Linked DNA regions of Neurospora crassa OR74A. The protein of the gene in region 2 purifies or fractionates together with the protein of the main gene of each other region. This does not show direct contact. Links are inferred from orthologs where the notes say so. Each region holds a gene or a part of one and is shown on either strand. Other genes may lie near its edges.

Region 1 (6,257 bases), on a different chromosome or scaffold from region 2:
CGGCCTTTTTCATATGGCACTTCAAACAAGGGGACCTCGATGAAAGGAAAAAAAAACAAAAACAAAAATAAATACACACAATGAGCTCCCCAAATTCTATTGCTACCGCCATTCTCGCAAACACCGGACAATCACGGAACCAGTTCTACGGTGGTGGCCTCGGTGGTATAGAAACCCCCTTAACAGGACGTTCATTCCTCAGCGTTAGCATCGGCAACACCACGACGGAATCTATGGCTTCGTCCATCGTCAGTCCTCGAACTCGAGGTCGATGGGACCGACGAATCAGCGACGTCGAATCCGGCAGCATGTACAGTCCTACAGCAGCAGCACCACCAGCTCCACCATCATCCTCATGGCTCACAGACGACGACGCCGAAGCCTCATCAGTCCGCTCAGGAGCACTCGACACCCGCCCCTTTCCATCTTTCGGCCCATCTTCGTCCATAGCGCCTGACTCATCCTACTACAGCCAGATTGCACGGTTTCAGGGTGTCCGGAACAGCGTCTCGCTTCCCCAACCATGGCGAAGACGGAAAGAATCTACAACTACGGGGTCTTATACCACGTCAACCGATGATAGCGATGACGAGGAGGATGACGAGGACGATGATGCGTCAACCATTAGTGGTAGCCGGCATGAAGGACAACCACAACGGCAACATGAACAAGATCAAGACGCCGTCGCCGCCGCCACCTCCGCCGCTGCCGTGGATCTCTTCTCCCAGCACCAGTTCATCATGCCCAAGCCTGATGAGACTACTCCCCTTATAGCAGCCGACGACGTGTTGGTTTATTCCTCAGCAGACGCAGGTCACCACCACCCATCATCTCGGACCACTTCTTCACCCCATCATCATCATCATCATCGCTCGCGCAGCCTTTTCTTACGCCGCTTGATTTTTGCTTGTTTTTTGGCTGGGATGGTGGTGGCTAGTGTTTTGCTGGTGGTGGTGGTTACGATGAGACCTCCTCCGCCTGCGTCAAGTGAGGGGACTCAGGAAGAGTGAAGAGTGAAGAGGATGACGACGACCGATTGGCAAAACGAAGCTCATGAGGGTAGACGGGCGGACGGGATAGAGGATAGAATAGAGGATAGAGAGGGGATAGATATAGGCAAGGCGTTGGAGGGATGGATGGCAAAATTTTTTTCATATTTTGGCTTAGCTTTGGGGGAAATTTACTGCGAGCGTCTTTGTTTTGTTTTGTTTTGTTTTGTTTTGGTCTGGTTTTGTGTAGGGTAGAGAGAGGGAGAGGGAGGGATGCATTCCCAGAAGAGGGAGGGAAGAAAAAGACACAGAGCAGAGAGAGAGATAGGAGAGATTGAATGAACAGCTCGGTACAGACTGATTGCCAGTGAAGACAAGCTTCGTCGCTCCCCGGTAAGCTTTTTGCAGTGTATATGATATGACTCGCATTTGGCGTTCACCTTGGCTCCCGCTTACCAAGCCCCTGGGTTGTGAGAATCTCGTAGGAGAAGAATTCACTGATATTGAGAGGGAGGTTGGTCATCGTACTATACATATTCACACGGTGCATCGAGAGACGTCCTCCAAGTACATAATAATGTTCAATGCTTCTTATTTTGAGCTGCTCGACGTCAGTGGCCATTCCACAGACAGTTGCCAGACATACCATGCCATGCCAGAGTTTAACCAACACTCAATTATTCACAACCTGACCACACTCTTCCAACACATCATTCAGCGGAACCCATTGGCCTTCGGCCCGTTGAGCGTCAAAGCATCCAGCTCTTCCCTCGTCCTCCTGTATAACTCCTGCGCCTCTCTCTCCCTCGTGCTCACAAAGCCCACCTCCTCACGCAGCGCCGCCAGCCGGTTCCGAATAGCGGCCTGCTCCGAGGACTGGAGGACCTTGAAAGCGCCCAGAGCGTTGTTCGCCTTCTCCAACGCCTCGTGAGCCTCACTGATCTTCTTCCGCAGCATTTCAGCCCGATTCTTGTAACCGCCAAGATGCAGGTTGAGCTTCTTCTCGAGCTTGTTGCCCTTCTCTGCCGAGGCGACGATTTGGTCAATGACCTCCTGCAGGTTAGGTTAGCCAGTAAGCCTTCGGAAGGCAGGAGGCAGAAAAGGGGTTAGTTGTACATACCTCAAGCGCAATTTGCATAGTGGAAATCTGCTCTTCTTCTTCATCGTCCTCATAGCATCCCAGCCCAAGCAAAAGGGAGCTGCTGTTGCTCTTTTCCCACACCGCTTGAACTTCTTCCGGCTTTGGTTTATCCTTGATTTCCATCAGAACCTGAAGCTTGGCCTCTTGCAACGCGGCGTCGTCGATTTTCTGGATCTCCAGTGCCCGGCCAGTTGGCTGAGCTCCCGGTAGAGGATACTTGGTGGCATCATGAGCTACGAGCAAGGCCGCTTCACGAGCGATGAGAACCTTGACAGGGTCCTCGGCCTGCGAGGCTTCCTTCAAGAGTGACTGATAATCGACTTGGACAGGCCGAGGCAGATCCCGCTGCATGACCTGGGTACGTCTCTTGCGCTCCAACAGCTCTCGCGCCTCCCTGATCTCCCTTTCTCGTCGATCACGTTCAGCAGCATCCTCCTCCAGCTGCTCAGCGGTCTTGGGCTCTTGCTGATCGTCCGGCAGCTCGAGCTCCCACTCGGTCTCTTTGGGCTTGGGAAGAGACGCGAGGCCTTGCTTGAGCTGGTGCCGAATAGACATCTCGCGCATCTTAACATCTCGGGGTGTGCCGCCCACCATGGACATTTCGTCACCGGCATCATTGAGAGCAAATGTATCACGGGGAGTGCGCAGTGGTGTTTGGCCGACGCGGAGGGGCGTGGCGCCAGGACCAGCTCCAGCTGCCCGCAAAGGGGTGGCTAAGGGGTTAGGGGTTGACATGACCTGCTTCCGCGGCGCAACCGACTCGAAGCCGGTAGAGCCCACCCCCTGGTGTAGAGGTGTGTTCTCTCCACCGAGCAGCGAGGATTGCGTCTCTGTTAGTGCTCGGATGTTGCGGATCTCGTTTGCGATGTGGTCTTCCTGAGCGGGGGCCATCGGTGTTCGGATTGGCGCATTGGTGTTGAGTGTCGAGTAGTTGTTGATCAGGCCACGAGTTGCGTCGTTGTCGCTTTCGCGAGCCAGCATATTTGCCCGTTCGCCAATCATGCCCATCTTCACAATTTCCTCCAACTCGCCTTCGCCGACCTGAGGTGCTGGCAGGACCAAAGCCCTCCGCTTGCTGCTCTGTTCTGCCTCGCGCATCTTCTGCAGTTGACCGGCCTTGAGGGCGGCTTGCACAGATGGGTCCTTGTCGCCCTTTCTCCTCTTGCCGTCTCTCTCGTCCTCTTCACCCTTGCGCTTGTTCCCAACCTGCTGCTTCTTGGGGTCGAAATGGGCGCGCTGGTACTCGTTGCGAGACATCTCCTCGGTGGTGTCATAGAATCCGGGAACAGGCTTCTTTTCGAATGGAATATCGGCATTGTAGTCCATCTGGCCCTGCTTCTTTGTCGTAACCTTGATGTTGATACCGGCTGTCTTCAACTCGCGACGCTTCTGGAGAGCGGCCAGTCGGCGTGACTCCTCCTGCTGTCGCTCACGGGCCTTTCGCTTGGCCTTTTTACCCTGTGTGTTGGCCAGACGCGCGCGAGCCTCGCTCAACATTTCTTTCTCATCTTCATCGAGATCGATGGTGTCGGGACGGGCGGGTTTCGTCTCCGGATCGGGGTCGACCTCGCCAGGACGTAGTTTGCGAACATCGTCGGCGCTGGGCGCGTGAGCTTCGCCTCCATCAGGGCCCGTCAGCCCAAGAGCGGACGCCTCCCTCTGCTCAGCTTCGTCGAGAAGTCTTTGGTATCTTTCCAGGCACTGGTTTGCGGTTCTTCCAACGATGGGGGCAATGGTACGCCATTGGGTCGGCATCAGCTTGGCGAGGTGCAGCAGCTTCTCATCCTCCTCCTTGCTCCATTCGATCTTCTTGATGCTGGGATCCAGCCATTCGTTCCATCTTGCCTTGCACTGCTTGGGCGTCTTGCGGGCCAGCAGCGACGAGACGCGGGCCCACTGGTTCAGGCCGTACTTGCTGACCGACGCCTTGAGGATTTCATCCTCGATGTTGGTCCACACACCTCCCTTGACGACGGGCATCTTGTCGCTCGGCCGTTATGGATACTCGTCGGGCGTTGTAGTGATGCGGGAGTCGTTCCGGTAGGTGGGAGGACACTCGGGGTTGGGGTTGTCTTGGAATTGGAATTGAAAGTGTTGAAATGTTGTTGTGTTGATGGGGAAGAAATCCAGAAATTCAAAGCGCTGGCGTCAAGGCGAACAATGGAATCACCCGCGACGCAACTGCCTTGGCGTCTTTCCCAGTATCAACTGTCAAGCGCTAGCCAACCTCAAGACCTTTTTGCGGCAGGCAACAGGTTCCCGCGCTGTTAGCATTTTTGTGTCCCATGCATGTGGTAACTAACAAGCGAGCCAAGCTCCGGGACCCCTGCCTGCCGTTAACCACTAACAGAAGGATGCCCCGCCCTTTTGTCGCGACACGCTGCTGCTGTTGGTCGAGTGGATGAAGCTTCCATCCACCATTTCTGGTTCACATGTCTTTCTTTCCTCTTACATTTCTCAACTCTTTACAGAAATCCCCAGAAAGAACATCAAATCGCTCCGAAACTGGACTCTTTAACCCAATTGCGCTCTCCAAAAGTACGCGTCTTCTCCGAGTACCAAAGCATTTACCCGTAGGATCACCATCGGGCAATTCTCAGATTATTCTTAGCATCCATAAGCTGTCGTCGATCAGAAGAGCTCCCGTCGGTACCTACTTTGGACTTGGAGTGCTCGCCGTTCGAGTCCAAACACAAGTCGACTTCAGGACAAGGACAGCTTGCGAAAGCAAAACTAATCACTTAGTTAAATATTTGTCAACGTTACTGCTAGCACGACGTCTGCCGAGCTACATATGGCCAGCGACGTAGGCTCTCCCCGAAGGGAGCAAACACCTTCCGGAGCTGCCACGACGATCCCTCAGAAGCGCACGCTCGAAGACGACCACAGTCCAGCAGTTCCATCACCCCTAAACCCAGATAACAAGGCCGCTCCAAGAGTCCAAATACAGGCACCCGAAGACACCCAGCAAGCAGCCGTTCTAAACCGCGAAAAGAGAACAAAGAAGGACTCCTTCAAGAAGAGGGAGGCCAAGGCAGCAGCAGGCGGTTCCGATAGTTCTAGAGCAACTCCAGACCCGAAGCAGCAACACAAAGAGCCCTTGATCAACGAATTGCTCCCCGCGCGCTATAAGCTCGCTCCGCCCAAACTTACTGATTTCGAGCCCGCGCGCGGTCCCGTCTTCACCAGCCATCATGAGGTTCAAGGGCCCGAGGGCGAGACCATCGAATTCTTTGATGCAACCGAACAGTATGTCTTATCTATATTTGCTCCTTCGCCATTCTCCATTCATGCGGAGCATATTCTGATTTGCCTTTTTCCTACAGTGTCTTCAACAAGCGAGCGTTCCATTACACTCACTGTATAGCCGACCCAACGTTTCCTTCCATGTTCTACTATCGCCAGACCGAGACCGAGCCGTACGCTGCCCACATGGCCTTCGAGGACTCTGCCTCCCACGTATACTTTGACCGACAGGGTCGTCATGTCACCACCGACAAGGGCTTCCGTATGTCACGAGCCAACGTGGCCGTGCGAGAGGGCAGGTGGTATTGGGAGTGCAAGGTCACTCGAGGCACCCTGCGCGAGCCAGGTTCCGAAGGTGATACCAAGGCGCATGGGCACGTTCGCGTGGGCTGGGCGCGGCGTGAGGCTTCTCTCGACGCCCCCGTCGGGTTCGATTGCTACAGTTATGGTATTCGAGACGTGGCTGGACAAAAGGTGCACATGTCACGGCCGAAAGACTTCTTCCCGCCTGGCGAGGAGATCAAAGAAGGAGATGTGATCGGGCTGGAGATCCAGCTGCCTTCGGAACATTTACACAGGAAGATTGTAACGGGGCATTATAACCCTGCGGTCGACTTGGCAGACGACGAACCATCGCTCGAGGCACCCAACATCATCCGGGACCGGATCCCCATTCGGTTCAAACAACACATTTACTTTGAGAAGATTGACTACCACACAACCAAGGAGCTGGAAGACTTGTTCAGTCCCGCGCCGGTAGCATCGGCAAGCTCAAACTCGCCGGAACCGCCGAACCCAAATCACCCATTGCCGTCGCTACGGACGCTGCCGAACTCGTACATCAAGATTTACAAAAATGGAAAGGACATGGGCACGCCTTG
Region 2 (4,855 bases):
GCAAGGCGGAACCTCCAAAACGAAGATTGGGGGTCTGCAAAGAAAAAAAGTTGGGTCGGACGGGATCGATAGAGATGCAAAAGATGATCAAGGGGATAACGCGCGCAATCATGTGGGTGTGTGGTCCGTCCCCTCTGCCGCTCGCTCGCCAAAGAGTCGGGTCCGGGTCCTTTGACGTTGAACTGAGCTGGCCGATGTACAGGATTCCACTTGTCCCTAGTTCTAGGTACCTACACAGTAAGTAGTACCCTACAGCACCCACGGCTCACTAGCACTTGACGCTAACAATGTCCCAGAGGGCAATTGGTCCGTGCATATTAGACATGATGAAAGTGGAAGCTTTCACTCCAGTGATTTTCATCACCTGTCGACATCGAATTCCACTCCAACGATATCTGAGCTTGCGTCAACTTACAATCAGTCATATGCGAATGGATTACGTACATATCACTAGTGATAAAGAGGGCTAAACCGGATGATAGAACATCGAAGTTCTCAAACTCAAGGAGTAGGGTTGGTTGGAGAAACCACAATATCGAATCGTTCCACGACAACGTTGCTGGTCTGATTCACTACAACCGACCTCAATATCAAATCCAAAACAAAGGGTAAAGGAAGCAAGCGGTATACCTAGCCCATGACCAACAGAATTCGGGTACAAATAAATGTCATTGCAAATCTAGTCCATCAACACACCCAAAAGAATACCGATAAGGCACAAACATGAAGCGGTCACGCGAACCCGAGGAGGACCCTCTGCCCTATCAACAAACAGTAACAACGACAAGCTCTCTTTATCCAAACCAACAGCAATTGGGTGATACCACCGAGACAACAACGAGCCGATCTACCAGCGCCGATGCCTCCGGGTCACCACCCGCTGCAAAGATCGCTGGGCTAGATCCCACCGAAAGCCTCAGCCAACCCAGGATGCAGATGAAATGTTCGCTGCCGCCACACAAGGACACACTGGTGTTTTTGACATACTCCGAGTACGAATCCCATTACAACAGCATCCACACCAACCGGTGCCTCGAGTGCCGTAAAAACTTCCCCTCGTCTCATCTACTTGGGCTGCACATCGAGGAGAATCATGACTCCTTCACGGCTGTCAAAAGAGACAAAGGTGAACACACGGTATGTCCTGCCCTCCAACTTCTCCTCTTTCCCCTCCTGGTCCTGGCGTGTCCTTGGCCTTGCCGAGTGCCGATTCAATTTTGGCAGGCTTGCCACTAACGAACGTTCCAGTACTCCTGCTTCGTGGAAGGTTGCGAAAGGAAATGCATGACCCCCCAAAAGCGACGGATGCATCTCATTGATAAGCACATGTACCCAAAGAATTTCTTCTTCGCGGTGACACTGCACGGTATTGACGGGCGGCAGTCGATGTTGTTGGATGAACGGCGGCCGAAACAGAAACGGGTCCACAAGCCATCGGCAGCGGAAACACATGCCAGCTCTTCCGACCCAAAGGTCAACTCCAAGTCAAAGCCTCCATCAGAAATGAAGGAGCGGATGGAAGTAGATCGGCCCGAGCCCACTCCAACATCGACGAAACCCGATGCTGAGATGACAGACCAACCGCACGAGGAGGCCGTTGAGGAGCCGGCTGACGTGGATATGGGAGACTTGGTAGGCAAGATGTCTGCACTGCAGTTCGTACCCTCCAGTGTCAGATTTGGTCGTGGTCGTGGAGGAAAGACTGGATTCGCCAAAAGGTGACAACAGAGGAAGTGCAAAAACGAGATGTGGTAAGGCTTGGGCAAACCAATTCCATTAGTACTGGGCAGCTGAAACATATTATTGCACATCTGTAGCGAGAACATACTGATACGGTCCTCACATTCCATGATATCATGACATAACGTGTTCGTATGTTTGTTCAATCTGCTCCCTCAACAGTAAGCGTCAAACATAGCTCTGCAAAGGAGAAAGCATCTTATCTTACCCTCTCCCCGTGAACGCCTCTTCCCTCTCCCGATGCGTGCTCGACAAAGAGATGTTGTTGGTATCATTATCGCGGCGCTGAACAGCCGTTCGTCGGCCCCTGGCTTCTCATTGTTTCTCCACCACATCTCAGCCTTGAAAAAAGTTGCTTGTCCCTGCCGTCCCTTTTCAATTTTATAACCTCAAATCCGTGCCTCCTCCTCTTCAATCACCAGTAGCACACCCTCTGCACCCACAGCTCACGCACTGCACATCCTGGCCCTCCTTCAGCTCGGCCTTGGGCACGCGGCAGATGCACGTCGAGTTGAAGTTGGTCTCCTTGGTCTGTATGCAGCGCAGGCAGCAGAGCTTCTCGTAGCCGTTCTTCTTCCACTTGGCGATCAGCATCGCGTCCGCGTATCCATTCTTGAGCAGCCACTCGTACAGCTGCTTGCTGATGGCCTCTTTTTCGTAGTAGAGCTCATAGATGTACCGGCTCCGCTGGTGCGAGATCTGGAAGATAGGCCATTTGGCCTGGTGCTTGGGTATGTTGTCCGTCGGGGCGTTCTGTGCGTCCTTCATCTTGTTGGCGAAGATGAGCAGATCCTCCTCAATGTCGGCAAAACCCTCTGGGGGCGGCTTGCGCTTCGAGGCGGGGCGAATGGCTGGCATTTTGAGGTCGTCGCTGGTCCTCGGCCTCGGGATTTAGTAAGCGGTGCTTTAAGTAACGTGTTTTGCGTTGCGCTAACGTATATACTCGGAAGAGTATCGGAGTGTGTGGTGATATCGCAATTGTTCGGTTGAAGGATGGAGAACTTCAAATCTAATGAGCTGACCAGAGGAGAGTGCTGTGATCCCCGGCGTAAGTGCAGTGAACTGGCTCAAAATTGCCTGCCAGAAACGCCTTGGAATTGTGGCGCCAACGTCATTGGCCTCTTGTAGTTGTGGCTAGTGCTATCAGCGCCCGCACTCTGTGTGTAAGAGCAACTGTGGCTTAGCTGGATGCTACCGACCCCGAGCCGACTGCTGAAGCTACAAGCTGTCATGCGAACGACGAATCGACCGACCCTGGCGAACGGAACGGCGACAACCTCCAAAGGTCCTCAAGTCACGAATTGGCCCAAAATGCCCATCACACCTACCAAGTACGCCATCACCACCAGGCAGTGTAAGTGACCCCAGTTGTACAAGCTGAACGAGTAACTCTGACGGACATTGTAGCGGCAAACTGGAGCGACGCCAAGCGGAGGGTGTTCGCCCTTTATCGGCGATGGCTTCGTTCGGTACGTTACGAGCGAACCTACATAGAACGAGCATTTCCAGCTTTCGACGAACACGTTGGATATCGACGTATATAATGGGAGGAGTGCGAACAATCCCGACCGAGGATTCGCTAACCAGGATATCACATACAACAGACACCCGAGATGCAGTCTATGTACTCACTACCCCTCCCCATTTCGGTCATTCGCACTCGCATCAGGCAGGAATTCGAGCGCAACCGCTTCGTTAACAAGTTGCCCGTGGTGGATGTTCTGCTCACAAAGGGCCATGCCGACTATCAAGTAAGGCTCCACTTCATCGTCACTATCCACACGGACATGAATCAGGGGATCCCCAGAAACGGGCACAGCAGTGGGGTCATGTCCAAAATCTGGAGAACACCCAAAAAGAAGAGGGAAAGGGTTCCAGGCAAGGGGTCAGAAGGGAATATCAGAGCGCTGGCGCATGTTATGCGTCGCGGCGATTCGGACTGATTGTTCTGGTAACTTGACGCTGACTCTCCACGCGTCTATCAGGAAACCATGAACTTTTGGCGCCAGACGACTCACATGATGTCGTACTTCAACGAGGAGAGCTTCCGTGGAGCCAAGAGACTTCCCTCCAGCTTTATCGATGGCTTCCTGCAGGTAAGCCTATACATGCAGCTCTTTTGTCTTTGATGATGGCCACTTCATTGTGCGGGTAGCTCACAATACTCTTCTTTCATCTAGGGTCGCAACTAAGAAGAGTAATAACGAAGGGTATCAATGTCAGCCTTTCCTCTAGAGCCTATGTATATAACGCAAGCCAGATGAACATCCATGGACGCAGCCGCTTGTTCTTTTATCTTCCCCCCTTATCTTGATGGCCACTCACAGCGAGTTTTCCTTTGTCTATTTTTTGTTCCCCCTTGTGATTTACTACCAATTCAAGCCCCAAAACGCCGTTACCCATGCTGGTGAAAATTAACGATGAAAAGAAAGGTGAGAAACAAGAGGCTTAGGCAGACGCAGCGGCCTTCTTATCAGTAAAGTCCTTGCGCGCCTCAAGGAACTTATCCGAAACGACGTCGCAAAGATCTTGAATGTCACGCAGACCCTTGCGGAGTGCCTCGACAGCAGTTGTGCCCTCTGCATGTTACTGTTAGTTCACCTCTGTATTCACAGGTCTCGCTAAGAAGTGGACGAGAAAGATGACGCACCATAGGTCTGAATTCTAACGTTCATTTTGGCTTCGGAGGGATGAGGAATGGCGTAGGCGCAGAATTCGACATCAGGGCTATGAAATGGTGTTAGCACAGTCACAGCTCAGCTCATTAACATGAGACAAGTGAAGCTCCCGGTACTCACTTCTTCATGATGACGTATCTGAGCGCGTTACCAAGGGTATGGTTCTCATCAAGGAACTCGAAAGAAGCGGCCGTGGGCGTAGAACCAGGAAGCTGTGCTCAGGTGTTAGTCTCGAGTCGACATATATTCGTCATGGAGGGTTTCACGTACAAGTCTAACTTTAGTACCCTCTCCCTCCTCATACTCCTCATCTCCCTCCTCTCCTTCCTCGCCCGCATCGGCCATAGAGACATCATCCTGAGCCTCCGGCTGGTGAGAAGTCGGGGTCTCCTTCATGGTAACCTCCTCGCCCTCGTCGCCGAACTTGGTGATCTTGC

Evidence for each region. Proteins that work in one complex are often made in the same cells at the same time.
Region 1: the proteins of NCU00417 (region 2) and NCU06994 purify together in Schizosaccharomyces pombe (affinity purification with mass spectrometry; 3 studies listed by BioGRID, with this or other methods). This does not show direct contact. The link is inferred for Neurospora crassa OR74A from reciprocal best matches to the Schizosaccharomyces pombe genes cwf14 and cdc5.

What each region holds. Positions count from the first base shown.
Region 1 is NC_026504.1:4,814,862-4,821,118, reverse strand, and holds NCU06994 (pre-mRNA-splicing factor cef-1), read right to left. Parts: upstream 4,274-6,257; 5' UTR 4,111-4,273; coding exon 2,110-4,110; intron 2,043-2,109; coding exon 1,704-2,042; 3' UTR 1,452-1,703; downstream 1-1,451. Other genes in the region: NCU06995 (hypothetical protein), read left to right, coding at 81-791, 938-991; NCU06993 (Ash2-trithorax family protein), read left to right, coding at 4,925-5,379, 5,457-6,257. UniProt on the Schizosaccharomyces pombe protein: Involved in mRNA splicing and cell cycle control.
Region 2 is NC_026503.1:3,779,186-3,784,040, forward strand, and holds NCU00417 (cell cycle control protein cwf14), read right to left. Parts: upstream 2,738-4,855; 5' UTR 2,599-2,737; coding exon 2,152-2,598; 3' UTR 1,829-2,151; exon of another isoform or gene 1,758-1,828; 3' UTR 1,734-1,757; downstream 1-1,733. Other genes in the region: NCU00416 (C2H2 type zinc finger domain-containing protein), read left to right, coding at 724-1,137, 1,249-1,722; nuo14.8 (NADH:ubiquinone oxidoreductase 14.8kD subunit), read left to right, coding at 2,971-3,094, 3,148-3,209, 3,345-3,491, 3,726-3,836, 3,921-3,932; NCU00419 (DNA-directed RNA polymerase I and III polypeptide), read right to left, coding at 4,189-4,319, 4,391-4,467, 4,539-4,630, 4,689-4,855. UniProt on the Schizosaccharomyces pombe protein: Involved in mRNA splicing where it associates with cdc5 and the other cwf proteins as part of the spliceosome.